Linked DNA regions of Neodiprion lecontei. The protein of the gene in region 2 interacts with the protein of the main gene of each other region in a pairwise test. Links are inferred from orthologs where the notes say so. Each region holds a gene or a part of one and is shown on either strand. Other genes may lie near its edges.

Evidence for each region.
Region 1: the proteins of filamin-A (region 2) and 5'-AMP-activated protein kinase subunit beta-1 interact in a two-hybrid assay, tested with the Drosophila melanogaster proteins (2 studies listed by BioGRID). The link is inferred for Neodiprion lecontei from reciprocal best matches to the Drosophila melanogaster genes jbug and alc.

The regions. Positions count from the first base shown.
Region 1 is NC_060262.1:36,525,713-36,531,103, reverse strand, and holds 5'-AMP-activated protein kinase subunit beta-1, read left to right. Parts: upstream 1-1,980; 5' UTR 1,981-2,070; intron 2,071-2,076; exon of another isoform or gene 2,077-2,477; intron 2,478-2,695; 5' UTR 2,696-2,711; coding exon 2,712-2,906; intron 2,907-3,292; coding exon 3,293-3,568; intron 3,569-3,839; coding exon 3,840-4,070; intron 4,071-4,168; coding exon 4,169-4,315; 3' UTR 4,316-4,760; downstream 4,761-5,391. Other genes in the region: pancreatic triacylglycerol lipase-like, read right to left, coding at 4,990-5,228, 5,303-5,391.
Region 2 is NC_060261.1:13,535,849-13,540,709, forward strand, and holds the start of filamin-A, read left to right. Parts: upstream 1-1,752; 5' UTR 1,753-1,992; intron 1,993-4,843; 5' UTR 4,844-4,848; coding exon 4,849-4,861.

The DNA.
Region 1 (5,391 bases), on a different chromosome or scaffold from region 2:
CTCTATATAGAGATATATTCATCAATTTCAGTACATTTGATTTTGAATTTGTTCTGCTTTCAATGAGTTGATGATCATGCTACCTCAAGTTTGCGAATATTGATTATTTAGTTTTATCAACTTTCTAGTAGCGTATTTTGCCCACTTGACCGATGAACTGGCGTAAGGGTTATCAGTTTTCAGATCTTTATGTTGAAATATACCAGGTCTTTTCTTGATGAGTAATGATGCAAGCTTAGAACAAAAAGATTGATTCTCACGAATGTTCAAATGACGAAAAATATCTTCAAACAATATTCTCGCCCATTTCCACGAGTACTGAGGTTTCTCTTGCTGCATGTAGATATCCAAAAAATTAATCAGCCGCTCGTAACTCTCCGTATCCTTTTCACTGTTGGCGATAAATGAAAGCAATTGTTTTTCCTCAATATTTTTGTATAGTAACTTGACATCAAGAAACATGGTCACTAATCCAATTCCATTGCCTTCCATGAATTTAAGACACCCATTCTGAAGAATTTGTTTAGCAAATAGAGCAGATTCAGATTCACCACCTTCAATCATAGTTTTTGTGTACTCAAATATTAATAAATGAAATAGATTACGAGCCTTATTCTTGCGATTCTTATTCAGAGCATCTGACGCCAATTTTAAGCAATTTGCCGAAGGTGCGACTAAAGCAACAGTGAGGTTGATGTCGGGAAACAAGCAATCAAATATTTTCCAAGCTTTATAGGGAAAGTATTCTTTGACGTGCGACTCTTTCCTGACTATCAGTTGCATCAGTATTAGAGCAAAGAATCCAAGTACAGTCCTGAGCTTGTAACTGGCAGAACTATGCATATCGTTATCAGTGGCTTTTAAAAGAATTAAATTCTCTTTCAGCCAGTTGTGAAAAGCAAAAACATTGGCTTTGACGTCACAATCAAGATCATCCACAACAGGATCTTTAATTACGTGTTTGTCAGCCTCAACGGCCGTAGGAATCTGTGCTGTTTCGATCGCTGAATCGAACACATTTTTGAGCAGTAATTCATTACATGTGCCAAGTGGAAACATGAGAAGTACATTTCTGATAATAATGTTAATTTCTTCTGGTTCAATCTTGTCATCTGAGAACCAAAGATTTACAAATCTTACCAAGTGTCCTTCAATATCATTTTCTGGAATTTCTTTCCATACACACAAACTCAACGCCTCGGAGATACAAAATTCATCAGTCCACCCAACCACTGGATCTGGGAACCAACTATTCTAAAAAAAAAAAGGAGAAAACATCGTTATCTTAGTGCAACGCATAAACCGATGTTGTTGAGTTAAATAATACATTGAATAAAGATCCTTGGAGGTATTTGATTGCATGGATTCTTTCTTTCTTTTCCAGAATTTTTCTGCTGTTATTCAAATTACCTCATTACCGGTGTCCAATAATGAAAAAAAAAAAAACACAAGAATTCACATTATAAGCCAATGAGCAAGTCAGTGAACACAGAACACTGTGTTGACCTCGGCCACGGTCTGTGACCTAGGCTAACCATGCTTTTCTACACACTTCAAAATGATCCACATGTCTTGTCGTCTTCAACAATTCTTTGGTCGATGTATCTTTTCAGACCCATAAGATTGCGCAACTTACATATTCCGCAACGATGGCTTCGATATCAGTATGGTTCTTGAATATTTTCCAAAGATCGTCATCAGAACCAGCCTTGCGCAGTTCAGCTTTCGAAAAATCGTCCATGGTTTCAACGACTCTGATCACGGTCTTCAATCATGCAGGCAATTGTCGGCATAAAATTAGTTTTGTTCACAAAATTACGGATGATCCGATTTTGAAGGCTATGTCAACTGGGGGCGAAATCCCAGCGCCGATGGTGATTTTTGACAAAATTTTTTACCAGTAAGCGACCGACCCCCTCCCAAAGACTGTTAAGCACTGCTAATAATAAATGTTCTCGGGAGTTCACTCATCCTTCTCACGACTAAGATGTGAATAGTTCCAAAATATTCTGCCAGATGACCTAGACGTCTAGTTTCCTGCAAACAGAGATGGCTCTCTACTTATTTACGGCAAGTAGATAGACGTTAAAGAAAAAGGCAATTGCCTGAATTCACAATTTTAAAGTTTCATACTGACGCAAAACCTTATGAAACAGAACTTTTCTACAAACTGCAAAATGACGGTAGAAGTGTTGAATGTTTCGAAGCAAATTACAACGACGTCAGTCGAGGTAACCAATCAGGCGCCATTGGTCTGATCGAGGTAACCTCATCACCAAGTATATCAATCTTGCTCAAGGGCTGCTTTTTTGTCACGCAACAGCTGATATCCTCAAGTAATTAAAACCTAATTTTGGTAATTTTTGCTGCTGTAACGTTTATTCTACCTGTGATAAAATAAAATAGAATAAAATAAAAAAACTAAAGCATGTATCAAGTTCGATGAAATTTTGTTAGCCGAGACGCTATTATCTAAGGTATGTAATGAATAAGCAGATAACGATTTCGTTGGTAAACAAACGTGACAAATTTTCATATCGTTAGAAACTACATCCATCTCGATGTTATGATTAATTCTTCGTAATTCCTTGATTGCTAATGACATCATTGTACTTTTAGGTCTTTTAGCCAACCTAAACAGTTAGCTTATGTACTAATTAGATATTCCATGAATCTGAATTAACCTTTTATCTAGGGATCAAAGCTCAAGGATGGGTAACGCAGGCAGCCATGTTCCTGGACATCATAGTAGTAGCGTAGTACGAGAAAGTCATCACAGACATGGCAAGGATCATCCACCTTCCTCCCCTGGAAAAGATGGACAAGCTTTTATTTTTGACAAAAAGCCAAGTCAAAAGCTAGTCTTTCAATCGTCTCACGACGAGGAAGAGCCTTATTACACAAAGGTGTGATTAATAATTTTATCATTTGACAAATAGTTACTTGAAAACTACACTTATTACTGCGCACGGATCTTTGATTTTGATTAAATTTTATGATTATGAACAGCTTTTTTTGAATATGATAGTTATGAACTTTAATAACAAAGTAAAACTCAAATAGATTCCACTTTCACGGCCTCACCTCAGTGTGAAATTCCTTCTAGCAAATTAACTACGTTTATTCTGCTTCTATGTAATACTTGCTTTTCAGTCTGTAAAAGAATATAAAATTAGTATTTCTTTGTGTCCTGACCAAACATAAAACTCAACAAGTTGAATAAAGATACACATGCCATGTATAATCGTGATACCAATTTGGTATGGGCACTGAACCGCTAAGTATTGAACAGGCTGGTCCAGGAGATGGGGACAACTTTGGACCTGGGCGTCCTCGTTCAAATACAGTATCTGAGGGAACCAAAGTTTCCGATAGCAAAGTATTACCGACTGTGTTCAAATGGGAAGGAGGTGGTAAACAAGTATATATCAGTGGTACTTTCACGGAATGGAAAACATTACCAATGGTTAAAAGCCACGGAGATTTTGTGACGATCATCGATTTGCCCGAGGGTGAACATCAATACAAATTCTATGTAGATGGGGAATGGAGACATGATCCAGGATTGGTGAGTTGGAAGACAAATCAATTTTAATATCAATATATATCAAGAGCTGATAGTTGGAATAAAAATTACTACTTTCATAACACGAAGGCTACAAATTATCCTCATCTAAGGCCAGTTTGTCGATGGAATAGATATTAGGAGAGTTGTTTGGAAACAGCTGTGAATTGATTTCTATGTATTGACTCTTCCTAATATTGCAAAATAGCCTTGTTGATATTATATAATACCTGTTTCATTCTTGTGTTCTATTCTGTTAATTTAAAAATTACAGAAAATCGTTGACAACGGTTTGGGATCAAAGAATAACCTTGTCTCAGTGAAACAATCAGATTTCGAGGTCTTCCAAGCGCTGGCAAAAGACAGCGAAGGAATAATTAGCAGTGCTCAGACAGAATACAGTCAAGAGATTCCGCCAAATAAGCCTTGGGAAAAAGTTGCTGGCCCTCCAGTCTTGCCACCACACTTATTGCAAGTTATTTTGAACAAGGACACTCCCATGTCTGTCAGTATTAACATCTAGCCTTTAATACGCATAAAATTTTAGTAAGTTTTCTTTTTTCACTTACGCATATTTATTCGTTCCTAAATTATACCTTTCAGTGTGAACCAACGCTTCTACCTGAGCCAAACCACGTTATGTTGAATCACCTTTATGCCTTGAGCATCAAAGACAGTGTGATGGTTCTTTCGGCCACCCATCGTTATCGCAAAAAATACGTTACAACTCTACTCTACAAGCCTATATAATATTTCTTTTCTTTCTCATTCCTCTGTAAAAAAGTTGCTATAGTTTCGTTTCATTAAAGTATGTTAGTTTCTGTCAAGAAATACTTACAAAAGATTTTTCGCTTACATGTCAAATAACAGAACATTAGTGATTGTCTATAACGACATTTGATTAAAGTGATTACCCTCGATCCTCTTTAGCTTGTAATATATTGTACCTTACGTATCTGTTGAGTATTGTAACTATTATTTATTAAAATCAAAAGTTTCTCGAATTGTTCACGTCGATAATGTAATCCGTAAGTCGATCTTGTGAATTTTGTGAATTAATATTGAAGCATGAAAAATGGTGCATTCGTTTATTGTACAGTAATGTAAGAATATTGTGGGAAATGTATCGACTATTGATAAACAAAAAAGAAACGCGAGAGAAAAATAATAATAAAAAATTATAAGAAAACGTTAATTTACATAGTGACGAAGTTTTCATTATAAATTTTCTCTGATCACCTTATAGTTTAGCGATATTTATTGATTACAATCACATTACACACGCGCATGAAATTTCCAGCAAAAAAATGCATTACGTGAAATAGGTATAACATTTAAAACGATGCATTTGTTACTGTGTTACATGTTATACTCCGTCCAGACTAGACAAGCATTAGTTTTGGGATGCTTCGCGCAACTATGGATCAAACTTCATTTTGAGTGACTTCCGCAGCATAACCATAAGGCTTCTCGTGTCTAGTTTGCAAAAAGTAAGAGCCATTCGTAGAAGGATCGGTGTGAGCTCCCATGTACGCGACATCAGAATCAGAGCATTTTTTCCCCATGTAATGGTCCCAGTCGGAACATCTTGTGGCCGGAAACCCGTTTTTTATAATTATACTCTCGATAAAATATTCGTAAGATCTTCCGTGGCTGCAGGCCTCTGAAATCCATAATTTTTACATCGTCAGTTTTATTCCGGAAATTTTCCATCTAAATCACTACTAATTGCCTCACCCAACAGCTCTGGAATGCAGCAACATCCGGGCTGCACCGCAGTTCCTCCATTTGGATAGAAGTCTGCATGACCTAAGGGCTGGAAGTAG
Region 2 (4,861 bases):
AATCTGCAAGGTCTAACTGGTCTAACTTTTCAGTTTGTCCGAAAAAGATCGGCTCCGCTTCGAAGAGAGAGCTATTGAGTCAGGGATGAAAGCGCATGCGCACTGACCTTGTTTCTATTAACTTGCCATTGTTAAGCTAACGATAAGAGAGCAAGCAGCATAATCAAAAATTTCTGACGTAGGAGACACAGAGTACCTCTAAGTTGGGCACAATTCAGAACCACAAAAAATTTAAATTAATGTTAAATAAAACTTTATTGTATTTTGAATGGTTTCGAAAATTCTGAGAACTAATTTTTAGTTGAAGATTAGAAGATATGATAATAAGAAACTTCTATAATATCATAACTTTTCGAAATATTTGTGCGAGCTTTCCATAAAATATATATCACTCAGAAAATGGGAAACGTAAATTAAGTTTTAAGTCATTGATATCTCATGATTTTGAATAATCTGTTTGCTTGCATTTTTGTATGAAGCACCAGCGACGTTTATTATGTGTATATTTACGCCCAACCCTACACAGATTCGAAAAACTTCTAAATGACGATTACCTTTTTTGAGCTGCTTACAAGGCATCTCTTTCAGCGATTTCAGTGATCTCTTTCCAACCAGTATAGTGTATGGAGATTTCGACGATGGCTAAGTTAAACGCGGCCTTGGGAACCGTAGTGCCTATTCCAGCATTCAACTCACGCGAAGATTAGATAATTCACCAACGTACAGGATGTTTCAGTAAAATACTGATAACAATCAATGATAAAAGCTTCGAATCTGTTGTTGTTTATTTCTATAGAGATATTTTTGAAACGTACAATTTTTGCTCTGTTAAATAATAGCATCGTGAGATGGATATAGAAAAATTAGTCAACAGGTAGTCCTTACGTAAGTCTTGTCTGTGTAAAATAGATAAATTATAATTTAATGCTGTATTTTCATGAAGACACAATATCATTTTCAATATATATTGTGACATAATATAGTCATACACATAATAAAACCTCACACATTAACGGTAAACAGAAATATGCCAGTAATTCGACAAATATCTAGAGATAGTGACACTTTTGAAACTCGGTGTTTACCTACTCATCGTCAGTCAAAAGTACCTAACTTGTAGTTACGCGTGTGTACATAACATACTATGATGTAGAAAATTAGGCTAATTGTAAAACGGCGTATAACTATACATATTTATACGTATTAAACTGCAGAGGAGAGATGACCGCCCACAACAATGTAGGCCGATATGAGAATTTCATTGAGCCCACGTGAATGCCTACCAAATAATATGCAATGACGTGATAATAACAATAACAGCGAATTCCAAAATCGTTGATTAATTGAATCGCTCGTTGCTTGTCAATAGTGTACATTTGTTATCTCACAAAGTAGAATAGAATTAATGAAATGGGTTAAAAGTAGATGAAACAAATTTCCACTCAACGTCTTAGTATTATTTCTTTTTTTTTTTTTTTTTGTGTTCCGCAAAGACACGATGCTGTGGGTGGGTTTCTTAATGTAAGCACAGCTGCCTGTACGCTTATATTGTACCACCATCGTTGGCCATGAAGTGGCCGGGGGCTCAGCACCAAACGAACTTTCGTATTGGTGCAGAAGGAGAAGAAAATGCTAAGAAACGATTCATTCGTACCTGCGCGACGAGGCCATAAAGCCGTGTATTACTACCTGAATCACCAACACAAACCGGCAACATCGAGTTACTCGGTATAGTTTGCATTGCGGCAGTCAGTAAAGTCCGAGGCTTCAAGCGATCGACATCAATATGCGGATAATGTCGTAATACGTCGCGTAAAAACTAGTATTTGTACTAATGCGGTGTGACTTCTGATCGGAGGACCAAAAATGGCGTTTTCGTTTACCGCAAATTTGTTATTTTAGTTCGCGCCTTTGTAAATATCTCCTACCGCGGTATATCGACCTGTTGAATTTGTTATTGTGTGCGGCAGTGTCGTGACAATTATACGCAAGGTGATTATGGTCAAGTTTCACGATGCATCATGCATATTCATGAACATTATACCTACAGCGCATCGAATTAATCTTCCACCTTAAGTCATTTCTATATTGAGTTTATTGTGTACATACTATTATCACCGCCAACCTGCCGATGCTCACTTGTACGTGTATCCGTGTAACCTACGTATTCATCAGAACACATATGAAAGTCACACCTGGTATGGAGATGAAGAAGCGGAATGACAAGACCGTGTACTGTAAACGGTCCGATACACCCAGTCGGAATGCCGGGGATTTGATATCACAAAAATTAAGCATCGTAGCTTACTCAAAAAATTTGAACAAAAAATTTATTGTACTGGAGAATAATTCGTATTTTGAATCATACTTGTTTATATTTAGGTACTTGTTTCATTGTGCCATGGGCAATAACAGCTTTGCTAATTTCTATGATTATCAATCGCAATTTTCTCACGGTAATAATAGTGGGGAATAGTAACAATTACAAATGCCCGCAAATTTTCTTCGGGAGAATGCCAAATGAATGAGTGTTGGTTGTTCCGACATATTTTGGTGTGCAGAATACGATTATAGCGTCACGTGTTTTTCGGATTGAAAAATTGCATTTTTTAACTCGTATTATCTTCCAAACCGCTCCACAAAGTAATTTATGTTATGTACCAAGACCTATAGAATGACGTACTGTTTAAAAATAATTTTTATCACGCCTATAAATTTTTTTTATTTTCTATTATAACTCCATCTTTATTTACAATCTGTCTGGGTAGGCAATAGACTGAATTATATATACATCATTAAAGAGTGACATGGAGGTACATCTCCAATGATCAGTACCATTAAACGATATTTACATATTTTATATTAATCAGACTATTATCAATTAGTTACATTATTGTGCACCTTCGGAATCAATTTATATTTTTATTAAGATGGAGACTTATATTTTTTGAATCTTGAAGCACTAGAGGTTTGTTTTAGTAGTTTTCTAGCATGACGATTTGGATGTTAGTATAATTTATCCTTGTATCTTTGGGAGAAAGTTTGCACTTCTTGTTTCACTGATGATGTATTTGTATCTTTCCTTACGCCTATAAATAGCCATAAAAGCTATTTTTAGCCCGAACATTTGAAATTTTTAACATTAGTCAAGATCTACATATATTTTTTTCCATCTGAGGTAATTCTAACGTGTGGAGGGTATTTTCATTTGACTCAAATAATGGCAAGTGGTGTACTTTGACATAAGAAAACCACATTTTTAACCCTTAGCATTATTGCAATAGATATGCATGCTATTATAATAACATGTCAAAGTATATCACTTAAGCTGCTATTTGAGTCAAATGGAAAATATAAAATTTTCTGCATGAAATATTTTTTTGTGGCTATTTATAGATGTGACAGAATTTAAGAAAAATTGCACGTCATTCTATAGTTCACAACATAAATTTTTTTCATCATTCTTTATTAAGCAGTTTTGGATATAATACGAGTAAGACAGTGGAATTTTTGCCAAAAATTTATTTATTTATATATTTTGTATCAATGGGAAAAGCCCAACTACAACGATATAAAAACTATAGTGATCAGCGTGTTTGGTCGCCACTAATAGAAACACAATGAGGAACATAATGCTTTAAATTCTTAGATTTAATTGCGTAAAGCTTCAGTTGCATTCAAAATATATATAGATTTCTTCTTAACATAGTAAAGATTTGGCTTGTAAATATCAAGCCCATCAGCGTGTCTGTTACAAAAATCGGCGAGTCGTATTGATGGTGAAACGAGCAAAAAATTGGTATCCGATACAGAATGAAAAAATTAATGATTATGATATCTTAAAGATCTATTTGGAATGTGGAAGTTGAATTTTGATAGCACTTTGCTGCAATCGATAAAGTTGTCGAGAAGCTTGCAAGTGAAAATTACATCCTTTCTCTCTGTCTGTTTTATTTGAGGCCAGATATTTTGATAAGTTCCTGGATAATGCTATATTGGCCAATTTTAACGGCCACATAATGAAGGTATTAGTGGTTAAGTTTCTTTAGATCGTATATGACGTAGTGTAATTTCGGTCTCCAAATCAGAGATCAGAAAGTTAAGACAGGGTAAGTGTATGAGTAATAGAAGCTTCTGAAAGCGTCAAGATTGGTGAATTTCTTTGTAAATCTCTTAATAATGCATATGGTTCTGCAAACTTTAATTTGGATGTGTTCAAAATGAAATTTCAAGGAAAGTTTATTTTGCTTATTGTTATTAAGTTTATTTTTTTATGATGAAGCATTTTTTACTATTGCACCACAAACCATCACCACAACAAAAATGCAATTTTGTGATGGAAATATTTCGAAAGCCTGACGTGATAAAAAAAAAGCCAACACCATCATATTCACCGTACCAGAATACACTGGAAACACACTAACTCGTCTATTTAGCATTTTCTCAAAACAATATTGCAGGGCTATGTTGTAGATTGATTTTATGATCCGCTATGATGTAAGTCTCCTTCCCATTACAAAACTGCGACAACGTTTAATTGTCTGTAATATCTTTTTTTCTTACCGTGGAAGTAATATGTCAAAGTATTTCAGAAATGGAGTAAAATTTATGTTTTCGATTGATTTTTACAAATTTTGGTAAGATTTTGCCTCACTTAATCACTGCGTTACTATTGTAGTGTCGTATAACTAATGAAACTATCTAAGAACTTCATCATTTTTTCGAATGCACAAGTAGAAACTCGCTTCAATTATTTTTACGACTTATTTGACACCACAAAGACATAGCATTTTGCACATATGAATGTATTTTTAAGATGTCTTTGCATGTGCTGTTGCTATAGAAAATATGCATTCAACGA